Linked DNA regions of Nothobranchius furzeri. The protein of the gene in region 1 purifies or fractionates together with the protein of each later gene. This does not show direct contact. Links are inferred from orthologs where the notes say so. Each region holds a gene or a part of one and is shown in the gene's direction. Other genes may lie near its edges.

Region 1 (7,588 bases):
GCGAGAAGCAAATAAGAACATGACTGAACCCGAGCTAGCTCGTTTGTTATAACCTGATGAAGCTGTTTCTAGTTAGCCTAGCTAACTAGCTGTTTAGCTAAACTTTGGTATTCTTTCAACCAAGATGCTGCATTTTACATAGTTAAGTTGTTTGTGTATCAAAGCCAAGCCTTTACATCTTTATCACAATACAAGCTTTGTTATGATTTTTATTGTTCTTTCGTTCAGGGAATTCTGCCCAGAACTGTTTATTTTTGTCGGGGAAAATGACAGCTTGCCTTTGTGTTTTGACAGGTTAAATGTTATCTAAATGGCTGCCAGCATCAACAATTAAACGAACATGTGATCCAACACCGGGGTTTACAGCACATGATCTGGACAAGTGGAGACAGTCAAAACAAACTGGGGTAAGAGAATACTTAGTGTGATTGTTCTACAGTGTAACTAGTTAAATGGTAATTTGACAATGTTTTGTTTTGTTCTATTATATTAGGTTAATCATTTCAAAGTGGTTGATTAGGAATCAATAGCCATGGCAGCGAAGAAATCCACTCTGAAAGTCATCTTGCTGGGTGACGGTGGGGTTGGAAAGAGCTCCTTGATGAATCGCTACGTCACCAACAAGTTTGATGCCCACCTTTTCCACACCATTGGCGTTGAGTTCCTAAACAAAGAACTTACTGTAGACGGGTACAAGGTCACCCTGCAGATCTGGGACACTGCTGGCCAGGAGCGCTTCCGCAGCCTGAGAACTCCTTTTTACCGTGGCTCTGATTGCTGCTTGCTCACTTTCAGCGTTGACGACAGCCAGAGTTTTCTCAACCTGAGCAACTGGAAAAAAGAGTTCATCTACTACGCCGACATCAAGGAGCCGGAAAAGTTTCCATTTGTGGTTTTGGGCAACAAAGTGGATGTGGCTGAGAGGCAGGTGTCTTCGGAGGAGGCTCGGGAGTGGTGCCAGGAGAATGGGGACTACCCGTATTATGAGACCAGTGCCAAGGATGCCACTAATGTAGCAGTGGCATTTGAGGAAGCAGTGCATAGAGTGTTAGCAATGGATGACAAAACAGACTACCTCATCTCCACGGACACAGTCAGGCTCCACAGAAAGCCTCGTTCTGCCACCACTTGCTGTTCTTAACATCCAGAAGCTTTCACTAATAAACCCCTGTTACGCCATGAGACTGTAGGCGTACACTGCTGTAGTAACAAACTATGCTACTAACACTTTTGATTATTTTTTTTAAGGTTTGGTGATCATTGTTGGACTTCTGCCAAAACAAACAGAAAAGCAAACACTAAATTAATCTGTCTATTAACAAACTCAAAGCACTAACTTGTTGATTTAGTTTCGCTCCATTTTAAAAACTACTGGGGTCGGCCGAAGGTTTGACCATAAAAAGGATTCACATCCCTCTTAAAATAAGTACATTCTGTGTTCAGATGTTAAACATTCAACAAGTGTGATTATTTAATTTGATCTTCATGCTTGAAATGTCATTGTGGAGCAGGTAATCATATATTTACATAATTAACATTGAATTGCAAAGTAAAACATTATTTGTAGAAGCCAGTGAGCCAGTTTCAGTTCATTAAAAGGTATGAATTGACTACATTAGGTTTTGTCTGTATGTTATGCATGTCAATTGATGCTTTATGTTAGAAAAATGAAGACATATTCCCCATACAAGAAATAAACACCAAATGTTTTGTGCATGGCCTTTTTAATTGCATTTTATATTTATTTTTCTAACATTTCAAAAAATAAAAAGACTAAGCACTATGGAGCTTTTTCTTCTAATGAAAGTGTGATGAAGTAGTGACCGTATGTCATTGTTCAATGCTGTATTATTTAAAAATAATCCAACCGCACTCTTGTCATATATGCAAATTGGAAGACTTGAGCTACAACTTGATTGGAAAGTGAACCAGTTATTTACCTTAACTGTTTCTCATTTTAGTTATGTATAAAGTTGTCAGCTTGATATACTAAATGACAAATAAACACCCTCATAACTGTCTGATTAGCTTGTTTTGTGGCCTGATAACTAAATAATGACTCATTTAATTGTTCTAAGGATAATCAAGAACTTGTCTTGGTACTCTGCTCTGTAAGCACCGACATGATACAGAGCATTCCTCATGAAGAACTAGTGATCTAATGTCAGAGGTTCAAAGAGTCAGAATTTAATAAAAATGAACAAAAGATAGTTGTAGCCACAACTTTGACAATAACATTTTTACACAAGTTTTGCACAAAAGGAAAACGACAAAAAGATGAATGTCACACTGAATCCGCTCAAAGCGATTAACTCAGGAGATGTTTCTTTCCAAGGAACTGGACCTTCCTCTCAAACGCCGTCGAGCGGATTGGTGCATTGATTTCATAGAAGGGGTTCATTGCAAACTGAGGAAAAAACAAAGAAAATAGTAAATATCAAATGATCAGGAGAACATATTAGTGATTTTTTATAAACATGAAGCACGGCGCACCTTAATGTATAAGTCATACACATCATTAAAAAAGTTTTTGATTCCATCTTCTTGTCGAACATCATGCAGCATGATGAACCTTATATGTATGGCAGGTATTTAAGGAATATAAAGCTTACAAGAGTAATACATGTGAATGAGTATGAAAAAGTGATGAATATTTATTGTTTACAATAATGAAGTAGTTTATTTTAAAGAAACTAGAAATCAATCAGCCCATCACATTCTGGGAATAACTTTTCTTTTATTAGGAAAAATAAGACTCTTTATGCCTTTAAACGTGGTTTCACATAACACATTTCTATGTTGTACAATCACATTTCAACGTTTTCCAGTTGTTTTTAAAACAGAAACAAAATAATTAAGAGAAAAAACACAAAAAGGATATGTCCTGCTGTGACGAATGCAGACACAAACCACTCGTTAAACTTGTCCACAGTTTTCAGGTACATACTATTGGACAGCCACATGTTTTCATCCACCAAATCTAGCGCTGCGTGTGCAATGAACTGGTTCAGGTGACGGTGATCATCCTGTAGTCACAGAAAGAAATAATTTCAAGATAATACATTTAATTAACGTAGTTATGATTAATATGTGTGTGCAATTTTCCCACAATTAAGTCACTTTAACAGTTTATTATGATCAGTTGAGCAGAAGTACCTTTGATTCAGGCTTCCCAGATGGCAAAAACTCCATCTCAAACACAGGATTGTCATGATGACCAACCATAACAAAATAAAAACTTCCCGACATCGTTTAGATCTCCTTTTATCAAATCAAACGTTACCTGCAGTCGATTAAAGACAAACATATATGGTTAAATAACAAACATTAGAGAAGCTAGTTGCTAGATGGCTAATTTTTAGCAAACGGGTTAACAGAATAATGTTGTTCAGTAATAAAAATGACTTTAAAAGAAAAACATACACAAGAGAGAAAAATATAGAGCAAGCAAAGCTACATTTCAAGATTAACCGATTTTTGTTTACCTTTTAGAGTCGCTTCCTGGAAGACTAAAACTTCAGTCGCATGAAGATGACGACAGTATAAGTAAGAAAAAAAGAATGTTTCACGAGGACTTTATTATTTTAGATTTTTTTTTAGAATATTATCAAAATAACGTGTATTTACTATTATGTTGTAAAAATTTTACAATACCATTTTTTTTCACTAACCAATATTTGTTACGTCATATTTGTGCGCCCGTGTCGGTTGGTAAATTTTAAAATGCTTTGCATACGCTTCTGCTCGTCGGGCCGCTTAATGGCAAACATTCATCATTTTTTTGGATATAAATTTTTCTTGATAGATCGAGAATTGTAATCTACGTAATAGCCAAAACTTTTAAAGTTGTTTTGGGTGAAATATTTATTCCGTTAACGTGCACAGCTGTGTGGATATTTATCTGCGAAGCCCTGCAGTTATGTCTTCATCGAAGGAAGATGGGTTGTCCCCAGAAGAGCTGAGGAAAAGGCTTTATCAGACTTTTAAAAACAGAGGAGTGCTTGATACCCTCAAAGTAAGCTAAATATCCTTGTTTAAACCTTTTTAGCCCAACTTGGCATTAGAAGCTACGTTGTCATTCACTTGTTTTATCCCCAGGTGCAGCTGCGTAATCAGCTCATCCAGGAGTTAAAATGTTCACAGGAACCAGCTCCCAGACCGGTACCGGACACAGATGAGCCTCTTTTACTTTTAGCCTGTAACAGCATCGTGTCAAATCATCTCGTTGCGTCAGGATATGAATACACTCTTTCTGTGTTCTACCCTGAATGTGGGTTAAGTAAGGACAAGGTGTGTGACTTTATTTATGTCCCCTTACGAAGTTTAAATATATTCCCTGTAGATACACATTTATTATTATTATTATGATATTATTATTATTTTTATTATTCATTATGCTGCCTCACTGCCACCAAGGATTGGCTGAATAGTGTTTGTTGATCTACTAAATACATAAACACAGATACAGGTGTTTGTTTATGTTTATTTTGTACAGATTTTAAAGAGAGACGGCCTTCTTCAGATTCTTAAAATCCACCCTGCATCACCCCACTACTCCTCCATGGTGAATAATGTCACCTGCTCTACAGGGCCAGTAAATTCTAATCTAAATTGAGCAAAATTTTAATAAAATATATATTTATATTTTTTGCTAGGTAAATACAGAAATCAATGATAAAGGTATGTTTTAATATACTTTCTTTATAAAAGTGATAGTTTTGTTTTGATTTTGATATTGTGGTTATGTCCTGCAGGATTTCTGTTCAGCCTTTTAAAACATCTGACAAATGATTACCATCCCAGCCTCTGTCATGATGTGGAAACTCAGACAACCAGCTTATCGAGTTACGGAGAGTCTCTTGGTATGAAGGACTGCTGTTTGAAATTACGCTGTTTTGATTTCTATCTTGTAGCCTGAAGCAAATAAATTTTACTTTCCTCGTTTTCTTTGCACTCAGTCGAAAAGATGAAAATGATCGATAAGGAATATGAGAGCGTTAGTTTCAGTGATGACAGAATCTTTCCCTTTCAATCAAAACTGGCTGCATATAGAAAAGAGACAGAAGCACAGATGGAAGCAGAAATGAACACAAAGGTTTGTGCTCACAAACTCCTGTAATGAGGATTAATCATCAGATGTTTGTGTTGTGTTAATCTACTTTAATGTTTTCTTTCTTGTATTAGCTGCAGCATTTTAAAGAAGTGGAGATTGCTAAGGTGAGAATGGAAGAAAAATCAAAGTTTCATAAAGAATTTGATCGTCTGAAGCAAGAACTGGAGAGGAATTATGAAATGAAGACAACGGTGCTGATGGAGAGAGAGAAAAATGCGATTGATCGGCTGCAAAAACAGCAAGAGGTGAAAATTTGCTATTATTTAGGGACGTTTGTTTGCTTGGAAAACGTTTTTCCTATTTTCATACACTTTTTATCATTGCACTGCTTACTGCAGTGCTTTGTGTTTCTTGCAAAACATACAGCATCATCATGTTTTCATTTATTAAAACAAAAGCATCATGAATAGACCTCAAAAAGTGTCATTAAAATACTTCAGATACTTGATTTTCTGGTTAAATATAATTTCCAAGTCAGAAACAAAGCAAAATAAACAACAGAAAAATTCTGATTTTATGTTAAAACTAAACAATTCTTAAATGTTTTTAAATGTTCTGATTATATCAGTGCTTACATGAAAATAAATACAATATTGCTAACATTTAAGACTTTTGGGTTTGGGGGGGTTAAACAAAATGGTTTTAATGTGTTTGGCTTTTAACAAAGAGCAGTTGTGTGCAGGGTCACTTAACACCCCTCATTTGAGTTTTCTACCTAGCATCACTAAATAAATTTTCCTAATCCTCCCTCCTACTGGTTGAAAACAGAATTACAAGTGTTGTAAATAACCCTGGCTGCTTTAGCTAGTGCTAATGAGCTAATGCTAACACGAGCTAATAACTACTAAAATAAGCCACAAAGCAAAAAGGTCCACGCTGTTGGACAAAAAATATATAACTTACAAGTCCAGTATCAACAAAGCCAGGTCACCATCAGTCCGTGATTTCGTAACCTTTAGCTTGCTCAAACTGATGTGGGCCATGCCGATGTTCACTCTGGTTCACGACTGAAACCAGTTTGAAAGCAATAGTTTAACTCGTTAACTGCCAGCCGTTTCCTGATCGGAAAAGCCTCACGTTGCCAGTGTTTTTCTGTGGTTTTTTTTTTTTCTGTTTTTTGAAGAGTCAAAACATTGTGCTATATGATGATGTCAACGCCAAAACTACCAAAACAAAGAGTGGGCTCACTTCTTACATCAGGAAGAATTCAGTTCAGTTCAATTCAAAAATACTTTATTAATCCCAGAGGGAAATCGATTGCTGTAGTAGCTCAGAATCCGCGTGTTTCGAGCGTTATCCGTTCTTTCATAATCCGTTGTTGAATTGTGATCGACAGAAGCTTTGCGCCTCACTTTTTTCACAGCAGCGGCCGAAAACGTTGTTCTAACACATGGATTTTCTGCTTCCTGATCACGTGACATGTGACGTATGCGGATGAAATTCAGCTTTAGAGCCTTGATGTTTGTTCCCACGCTGCGGGGGCTCGTTCCGACGCCCACCCAGTAAAAAAAAAGAAATGCAAACGACGACTTTTGTTGTCAATGGCAGTAAATGAGTTAAGTATTAAAAACTCTTTAGTGCTGCTTTAATTTCTCCTCACACGTCATCCCTCTTTAGTAACATAATAAAACATCCAAAGAATGGCCTGTAAAAAATATATGCTGATACTTCTTGAGGTGTTCCAAGGTTGTTTACCTAATTTGACAAACTCCTTGTATCATGAGTAATAATAATAATCAGGGATGTGTATTGTTGAAATTCTGGCGATATGATACATATCACGATACAGGGGAGACGATACGATACATCGTGATATATTGCAATACATTCAGTCAGACGTTACAAGCTATTTTTTTTTACTGAATTTATTGTAAGAGTGTTCAACAAACAGTCCAAACTGATACGTAACATGTTTAAAATGAGGTATCTGAACCATGATGGAGGGATTTACATTTCAATGGTGGAAACAAAACCCGTTGCCAACTAGCGGGTGGCGATTGAATTACACAAAACGAAAAGAAAATGCACAAATGTTTGCATGTAAATTCTTTCAAAAATTAGATACACGGCTTTTGAATATCAATATAATATTGCTGGAAAAAATATCACGATATATTGCCATAACGATATTTTCTTACACCCCTAATAATAATAATAAAAAGTAATAATAAGGCATTTATTTCAAAGCGCCTTTCAAGGGACTCAAGGACACTTTACAGCAGTAAAATAGCAACAAAGAATCCGAGTTAAAAATAGCAAAAATCACACACAGAAGCCTTAAAAATACAAACTAGATAATGAAATCAATGAAGATGGAAAAGGTGACACTAGCAGTAAGCAGTCTGAAACAGGTGGATTGTGAGTCCAGATTTAAAGGAGGAGAGCGGGTCGGAGTTATGGATGGTTGAGGGAGAGAATTCCAGAGACGGGGAGTAGAGCTGCTGAGGGCTCTGCTCCCCATAGAGCTGAGACGGA
Region 2 (7,532 bases), on another chromosome or scaffold:
CGGCCATCTATGGTTTTATTGTTTGTTTACGGTGTCGTATAAGCCCGTGGGGCTGGGCACATGTTGTGCATGACAATTTAAGTAAAATTTATCTAACAACGAGAAATGAGAAACCACCCACAGCTTCTATACATGAGTCCACAATACACACAGTAATGTTTACCAGTGATGCACATCAAAGGTTCTGGAGCACTATATCAGTGTTTTATTATTATTATTTAGCTCATCCAGCTAAAAAAAAGGGCAAAACTAATTTTCTCAGTGCATTTTGTACCCCATTTTTATCCAGATGCAGGAGCTGATAGCTGATGAGTTTAGTGGTAAGAATAAAAGCTGACAAGGCAATGAAAATGAAAAGTTAAATACTTCAAAGACAAAAAGTGATTTCCAAGAAAAACTTAAATTTTTAAGGGGAAAATCCTAAAATACGATATTAATGCATCTGTTTAATATAGGATTTGAGCCTTGTTTAAAAAAAATACCTTTTTACCAAATATCTCATCTACACATCCCAGTAAACCTGAAACCTAGGCATCACCGCTTAGGCAAACTGCACCTAAAGCCTGTTTTTATTCGCTGTGTTGCAGAGTGATCGTCATGGACAGAGGCAACGTTTGTGAGATGGACTCTCCGGCCAACCTCATCTCACAGCGAGGACAGTTTTACAGGATGTGCCTTGAAGCGGGGCTGGTCTAGCTCTCTTAAATGGGGCTTGAATCAGAGGACTGGGGATCTGCTGTACAGATGTGGCACCTTTTCCACGTGTGGCTCGTCAACACATATTAAGTTGGGCTCTTTTGAGCTTTTGAGGCGTCCCAAAACTCTCTCCGTGAGGGCATTGTTGAGGAATTTCAAGAGCAGCTGCTGACGCATGACTTTTATTGAAAAACACACAAAGACACCTTGTCCTCGTGCAGGAAAAGACACTTCGGAAGATGAACACTCAAAAATGAAGCTATGTTTTAATGTTGAGTCTTAAAGCTACAAATGTAAATAGAGCAATGAAGTCATGTTTTCTGTAAAGGCTAAGAACTACAAGAGATCCACAAATCTCTTTAGGGACGGACGTTGTTTTATTTTTACAGTTTTTGTGTGTATTTGTCGATAAAGCACGGTGCATTTTCTGATGTTGTCTCAGGCTTAGACATGTTTACTTACACTTTTTAGCCTTGTACACAAAAAAGAAGAGGCACTTTTATACTTGCAAATTGATAGAAGTCTATTTTTATTCTCATCCCAAAAATTGGGACATGAAATATTCTGACACAAAAACCTTGAAAGGTTCATGCTGGTGAATTCAGGGAAAATGTGTGTGTGTGTGTGTTTTTTTAATGCAGACTTTTAAAATTTGAACACGAGGCCATTTTTAAATGTCAGGGAGGTGGAGGAAAACATTGAAGTAAGCCAAGACATTAGCAATCGTCCAACTATGTTGTGGCTATTGTTTATTTCTGTCAAAGTAAACACATAAAAAAGTCAATGGAGACGTTGCTGGTCAGCTTTAACCTGACACCGGTAGTGAAAACCACCATGAATGAGGAGAACGCCTCTTAAAAACAATGGTGATAAATCTCTACGGGATTGTCTCTGCGCCTTCACCACACAATCTCAGGCCATACCATAGACAGAGAGGAGAAAAAATCTGTATTTTTCTTATGGTGTTGACATGACAGACTGTAAATAGTCCACATGAAGCTTTAGTGTCAATTCAGAGAAAGAACTCTATGAACTTTCTGGAGAGGGGGAGTGTTTACTGTTTTTGTCTTACTGGTTTAGACAATATATTTTAAGAGAAACCCAAGTGTTTATTTATGTCTTTATGACAAAATGTATTAAATGTCCTTGAAATTCTGAGGATTATATTTATACTTTTTATAACAAGCTTGATTATTTTCACTGACCTTTGACGTTAATGTACTGTCTTGATCAATGCTGGAAAATAAAGTGTATTTGAATCTGTGGTTATTTTTGATTTTGAGTCATTTAGTTTATAGAATTGGTCAAATTCATTGTTTTTTATACAGATAAGTTTCAATAAGTCTGAAGTTGGTTAAGGTTTAAAGTGTTCTGTGCAGTCAAAGGCTCCAGAAAAATGTCTGAACAGACTCATGAGCCCAAAGGATCAAAGGGGGCACTGCTATTCCAATAATACATTTATTTTAAATTGCATGCACACGAATGGGCTCATAAAGAAGACATGAAGAGAAGCAGAAACATAAGACAAATGCGTTGGAGGGAAATTTCTCCAAAACATTTTACAGCGAGACACTGAAGTGATTCCACTCAGCAGACAAATGAGATTAAAAGTCATAAAAACGACCTTCAAAACTTGGCTGTTACAAGTAAAGACAAAAATAAGACAAAGAGTAAAAGAGATCATAAATACCGCAGGAAGTTGCAAAATACCTGATGAAATCCTAACTAATTAAGCCCAAAGTTCATGCTGAATATATGGGTGAACGTTCTTACCTGAAAAGGTGAGGTGCACCAACTTCTACTTCTCAGACTCTGCAGGTAAAGCTATGAAATGTTTGGAGGAAAACAAACACCTGTTTGGAGGCGTTGCGGGCCATTGAGGTTGTAGTTTCAACAAGCAGCCGCTAGATGGAAGACGTTAGCCCATAAACGGATTGTTTACATCACTTGTTGCAATGGCGACCATGTCTGAGCTAAAGAGTGGTAAGAGCTCACTCACTATATCGTTTTTCTTTCCTCAATCAAAAATCTTTACACAATTTCGCTTTATATTATGATAAATTTGTCAACGTTTTAGCTAACAACACAGCGTCTTCCAGCAATCTCCCATAATACAAATGTGCTAAATAAGTGGAAATGATTTTTCAGAAAAGCACACTTGCTCAATGTTTCCTGGGTTTTTATGTATTAGAATGTGCGTTTCATTCGTTAAAGCTAAATAAGACGTTTTAAACTATTTTAGCTTAGCTCGTGTTTCTTTTTGTCCACTAGCTGATGTTGGATACCCACAAGTTAGCCAGATTAGCTAGATTAGCTAGCTGGTTGTGGGGATAATAATACAACGGAAAAGTAAAAGTTGTTACATTCTATGACGATTGAAACTGTGGGTATTTTAGAGGTATGGACAATAGTATGAGCTATATTATAAAAGATTTAGCCTAAAAATCTTTAAGTAAATGTGAAATTCACATATAATTGAGTGAGGTTTGGTGTGTTGCTAAGATACATGATCTTTGGGGTTTACAAGCGACTCCCCCACACACGTACTCCTTACCATTGGCTGCCTGCTAAATTAATGTGTTATAATACAGATGTTTTATTGTTTTCAGCCGTGAGGGAAACCCTGGAGTCACGTGGCGTGCTGGGTCAGCTGAAGGCTCGTATCCGGGCGGAAGTGTTCAGCGCCCTGGATGACCAGCGTGAACCGCGGCCTCCTCTGTCTCACGAAAACCTGCTCATTAACGAACTCATCCGGGAGTACCTGGAGTTCAACAAGTACAGGTACACAGCGTCAGTGCTGACAGCAGGTGTGTGAATCAATTAGTCACCGTTTTTATGGCAGCAGTATACGTTTAAATGTAAACAAATGCTCTCCAGGTCAAGACTGATCACTTATGATGAAGATAAATGACCTGCACTTGTAGAGCGCTTTTCAGAGTCAGAGGACTCTAAAGCAATTTCCACAACAGTGTATCATTCATCCATTCACACACGGATGGTGATGAGCTACACTGTAGCCACAGCTGCCTTGATGCAGAAAAAGGCTTTGGTGCCATTTCAGATCCCACAGTGTGTCAGTGGGACAGCAGTAGCTCAACAGGTTGAGCAGGTTGTCCAGTAATCTGAAGGTTGCAGGTTCAATCCCGGCTCCGGTCAGAGAATTTTGCTGTTGTGTCCTTGGGCAAGACACTTAACCCACCTTGCCTGCTGGTGGTGGTCGGAGGGACCCGTGGCGCCTGTGCTCGGCAGCCTCGCCTCTGTCAGTGCGCCCCAGGGCAGCTGTGGCTACATCGCAGCTCATCACCATCAGTGTGTGAATGGATGAATGATACACTGTAGTGTAAAGCGCTTTGGAGTCCTTACTCTGAGAGGCGCCATACAAGTGCAGGTCATTTATCAGTATCAGTGTAACCACCCAGAGGACTTCTTCTCAGCATCGTTTGTTTTCTCAGAGTCGGGCCAGCCCGAGGCTTCCTTGGACAGACAGTTTCTGGCCAATGAGATGAAAATCACAGAGGATCCCAGCTCTAAGACAGTGTAAGTGTCAGGAGTGGGAAAATCCCAGCACAGTCTGGTGTTGATAACAGTGTTCAGTGATTTACCGAACGCTTGTGTTTAACCAGTGTGGCGATCATTGTTTTGTAATGACATAGTCATTTTGAATGGTTGTCTCTGATTGTGTAAAATATGACACGTGTTAGTGTTTTGCTTTCACCTCGTCACCATAACAAAACTGAGAAAAACTGGGAAACAAGCAACAGGCTCAGTTCCTGCCTGAGAAAAATAAAAATGTGTCAATGTGCTTTCATATTTCCTTGCAGGCCTCTTCTCTATGGATTGGTGTCTCACTTTCTGAATAGTGGTGATAACAGAGGGAAGGTTCTTCTTCGTGGTCCTGCTGTGACTAACGCAGCTCCTGAACATGATGCGTGACATGTGGGGGATGTTCTGGTGACTTGCGATGCTTCTGGACTGAATCAGGCTTTGTTTGGCTCTTATGTAGAGAATAAGAAATCCCACAGAATCGGACTGAACTCGGCTTGTTGTCTGTCGCTGGTATTATTCCACAAAGCCTCAGTGAAGTGTGAAATCCAGGGACAATAAAGTGTGGCCATATTTGTTGTCTTTTTATACTGTTGATAATAAAAGTTTTATTTATACCCTTTACGAATCTGTGAAAGTGTTTTTTTACACCACAAGATGGCAGTGTCTGCCCAACAAAAGCTAAATCTGGTCAAGCGACGCCTATTCAGTTTGTAGGATGAATGCAGCTTTAATTCCTTTCAAATTTCTAAAACTGATTGATTTTAAGACTTTTTGTCCTTTGCACTTGCATTGGTTTATTCTTTTGTTTGATTTTATAAAAATGTCCTCATCAAGGGGATCCGTTTTGATGGCCTGAAGATCAGGCCTCTGCTTTTTGCAGATGATGTGAACCTGCTGGTTTCATAAGGCTGTGATCTCCAACTTTCACTGGAGCGGTGTGAAGCAGCTGGGATGAGAATGCACTCCTCGAAACCCGAGACCAGGGTCTTGAGTCGGAAAAGGGTAGAATGCCTTCTCCAGGTCAGAGACGAGTTCCTGTTCCGAGTGGAGAAGTTTAAGCATCTTGGGGTCTTGTTCACGAGTGAGGGAGAGATGAAACGCGAGATCGACAAGCGGCCAAAATGAGTTTTCTCCGCCGGGTGACTGGGCTCTCCCTGAGAGATCGGGTGAGAAGCTCGGTGATCCAGGAGGGGCTCGGAGTAGACCCGCTGCTCCTCCACATTGAGAGGAGCCAGGTGAGGTGGCTCGGGCATCTAGTCAGGACGCCTCCCTGGAGAGGCACGTCCAGCTGGGAGGAGACCCAAGGGAAGACCCAGGACACGCTGGAGGGACTATGTCTCTTGGCTGGCAAGGGAACACCTAAGGATTCCCCTGGAGGAGCTGGCCCAAGTGGCTGGGGAGAGGGAAGTCTGGGCCTCCCTGCTTAAGCTGTTGGCCCCAGGAACTGACGTTGGATAAGTGGAGAAAAATGGGCGGGCCTCGTCACCATTAGGATGTTTAGTCTCACGTTGCAGATAAATCTCTTGCTCATTAATCATCACCCTGACCCATCAGCACAGCTACTCTACTGAGGGATACTAGTGTTCCCACGTAAACAAATGCTTCACATTGATTCTGATCGTCAGCATTTCCCTTCAAGCTTGAGTGACAGCTGCATAAACGCGTCCTTCCCTGCAGCAGAGAGAAGTCATGTTTACCCCTGGGCTCAGATCAGGATGCGATCGCATTCCAGGAGGGTCAGATGTATCCATAAACATGTAATCGCTCCAACAGACATCCATCTATGGACATGAAGGAGAAGACAATGAAACTAGGAGAAATGTGCTGTTTGTAAAAGGTTTCTTCGTGTTGCTCCACGTATAAAACTCTTACTATCAGCTCATTTAGTTTGAATAAATGCAAATGGGCATGATTTAGTTTACTTTACTTTATTTGACTGTTTTATGAGGCCTGAAGCTGGAACTGTACCAGTGGGACTGGCCCACTACTGCTTTTTAACGCTCACTCCCACCGTCTCCTCATAACTTCACAAACGTTTCCTAGCTTTGAGGAACTGGTTGAACCTTTTCTCTGGTTCATACTTAGGTATGGAAAACGTCCAGCCAAAGTCAACACACACGTCTCCTCGCTGGCGTCCCGGATCGATCACGGTTATAATAGTATTGGAACAGCTATTTTCATGGATCACGTTTGTCTCATTTCTGTATCTCGTCTGCAATCAGTTCATCAGATCCTTCATTCTTTCACGTTCCTTTCTCATCCCAACGGCTGCCAGATTCACCTGCCACTGCTCAGCGCTTGTAAATAATAAGAGTTATTCCCGCAGGGACAACTTTGTTTGAACAATGCCGTTGCTGTTGGACCATATTTAGTCACCGAGGCCCGGTGTTGTTGCTTGTAGACTCTGAGAGTAACACAAAGCGGCTGAGATTCCACTCTCCTTATATGGAACCCACTTCAGCCTCGCCACTGCTTTCTTTTCCTCCTCCTCCTCCTCCATCCTGCCTCATCTGAGTTCTTCAACCTGAGCACCTCCCTCAGGAGCAACGCTCCACCTCCGTGGTGCTGATCAGAGCGAGCCTGAGGGTCCATCGTTCTGGTCTTTGGTCTGTCACCAGGTTTCACGCACCAGTGCAGCATTCTGCCTCTGGCACAAAACAGGCCACAGCTATCAAGCAGCAGCTTGATTTACTGGAGCAAACAGGACCGTGTCCATATATAGGAAGTTCCATTGGGAAGAAGCTGGAGGGATGCAGCGAACACGGAGGGGGGAGGCCATTTGTGATGCTGGAATGTGCTGTGAATAGAAAACAGATATAGGATGCACACGTACACATAAGGAGAATGAAAACTGAATTGGTGTGAGGGAGGAGAACTCTGCAGGTTTACAGTAAAAGGTGATCCATGTGTTTCCCTTAAGAGGAGCGGGTCACAGACCCTTATGGGACTCAAGATCACAGGCATCACATTTCATTGTGTCTCCGTTTAATAGGCTTTGTTTCCATGTCATTCACTTTGAGAACTTGCGCTTTAAATCGAAGCAACAGCCGTTCCGATCCAAACGATTTTTCATGCCAACAATTAAAGAAATCGTTTTTAAAAAGGCCCATCATCCATCTGAAGCTCTGGGAGGGAACTGGTTACAATTGCACGAGATGGATTTCTTATCTAAAAGGTTCAAGTTAAAAAGTATTAGCTTCAGTAATTTCCTAAACTGTGAAATAAAAAAAGCTTGGTCTGCATCAGGCGTGTCCTAAGTGCAGCTGGGGCCTTTCGTGAACCTTGGAGAG

Evidence for each region. The genes of interacting proteins can lie anywhere in the genome.
Region 2: the proteins of ofd1 (region 1) and cep20 purify together in Homo sapiens (co-immunoprecipitation; 3 studies listed by BioGRID and IntAct, with this or other methods). This does not show direct contact. The link is inferred for Nothobranchius furzeri from reciprocal best matches to the Homo sapiens genes OFD1 and CEP20.

What each region holds. Positions count from the first base shown.
Region 1 is NC_091754.1:23,211,267-23,218,854, forward strand, and holds the start of ofd1 (centriole and centriolar satellite protein ofd1), read left to right. Parts: upstream 1-3,709; 5' UTR 3,710-3,919; coding exon 3,920-4,015; intron 4,016-4,098; coding exon 4,099-4,290; intron 4,291-4,495; coding exon 4,496-4,564; intron 4,565-4,655; coding exon 4,656-4,680; intron 4,681-4,754; coding exon 4,755-4,862; intron 4,863-4,958; coding exon 4,959-5,095; intron 5,096-5,184; coding exon 5,185-5,358; intron 5,359-7,588. Other genes in the region: rab9a (ras-related protein Rab-9A), read left to right, coding at 533-1,141; trappc2 (trafficking protein particle complex subunit 2), read right to left, coding at 2,309-2,407, 2,494-2,575, 2,878-3,026, 3,157-3,249. UniProt on the Homo sapiens protein: Component of the centrioles controlling mother and daughter centrioles length. Recruits to the centriole IFT88 and centriole distal appendage-specific proteins including CEP164. Involved in the biogenesis of the cilium, a centriole-associated function.
Region 2 is NC_091746.1:24,770,830-24,778,361, reverse strand, and holds cep20 (centrosomal protein 20), read left to right. Parts: upstream 1-2,569; 5' UTR 2,570-2,651; coding exon 2,652-2,679; intron 2,680-3,305; coding exon 3,306-3,503; intron 3,504-4,148; coding exon 4,149-4,233; intron 4,234-4,517; coding exon 4,518-4,629; 3' UTR 4,630-4,863; downstream 4,864-7,532. Other genes in the region: abcc6a (multidrug resistance-associated protein 1), read left to right, coding at 588-696. UniProt on the Homo sapiens protein: Involved in the biogenesis of cilia. Required for the recruitment of PLK1 to centrosomes and S phase progression.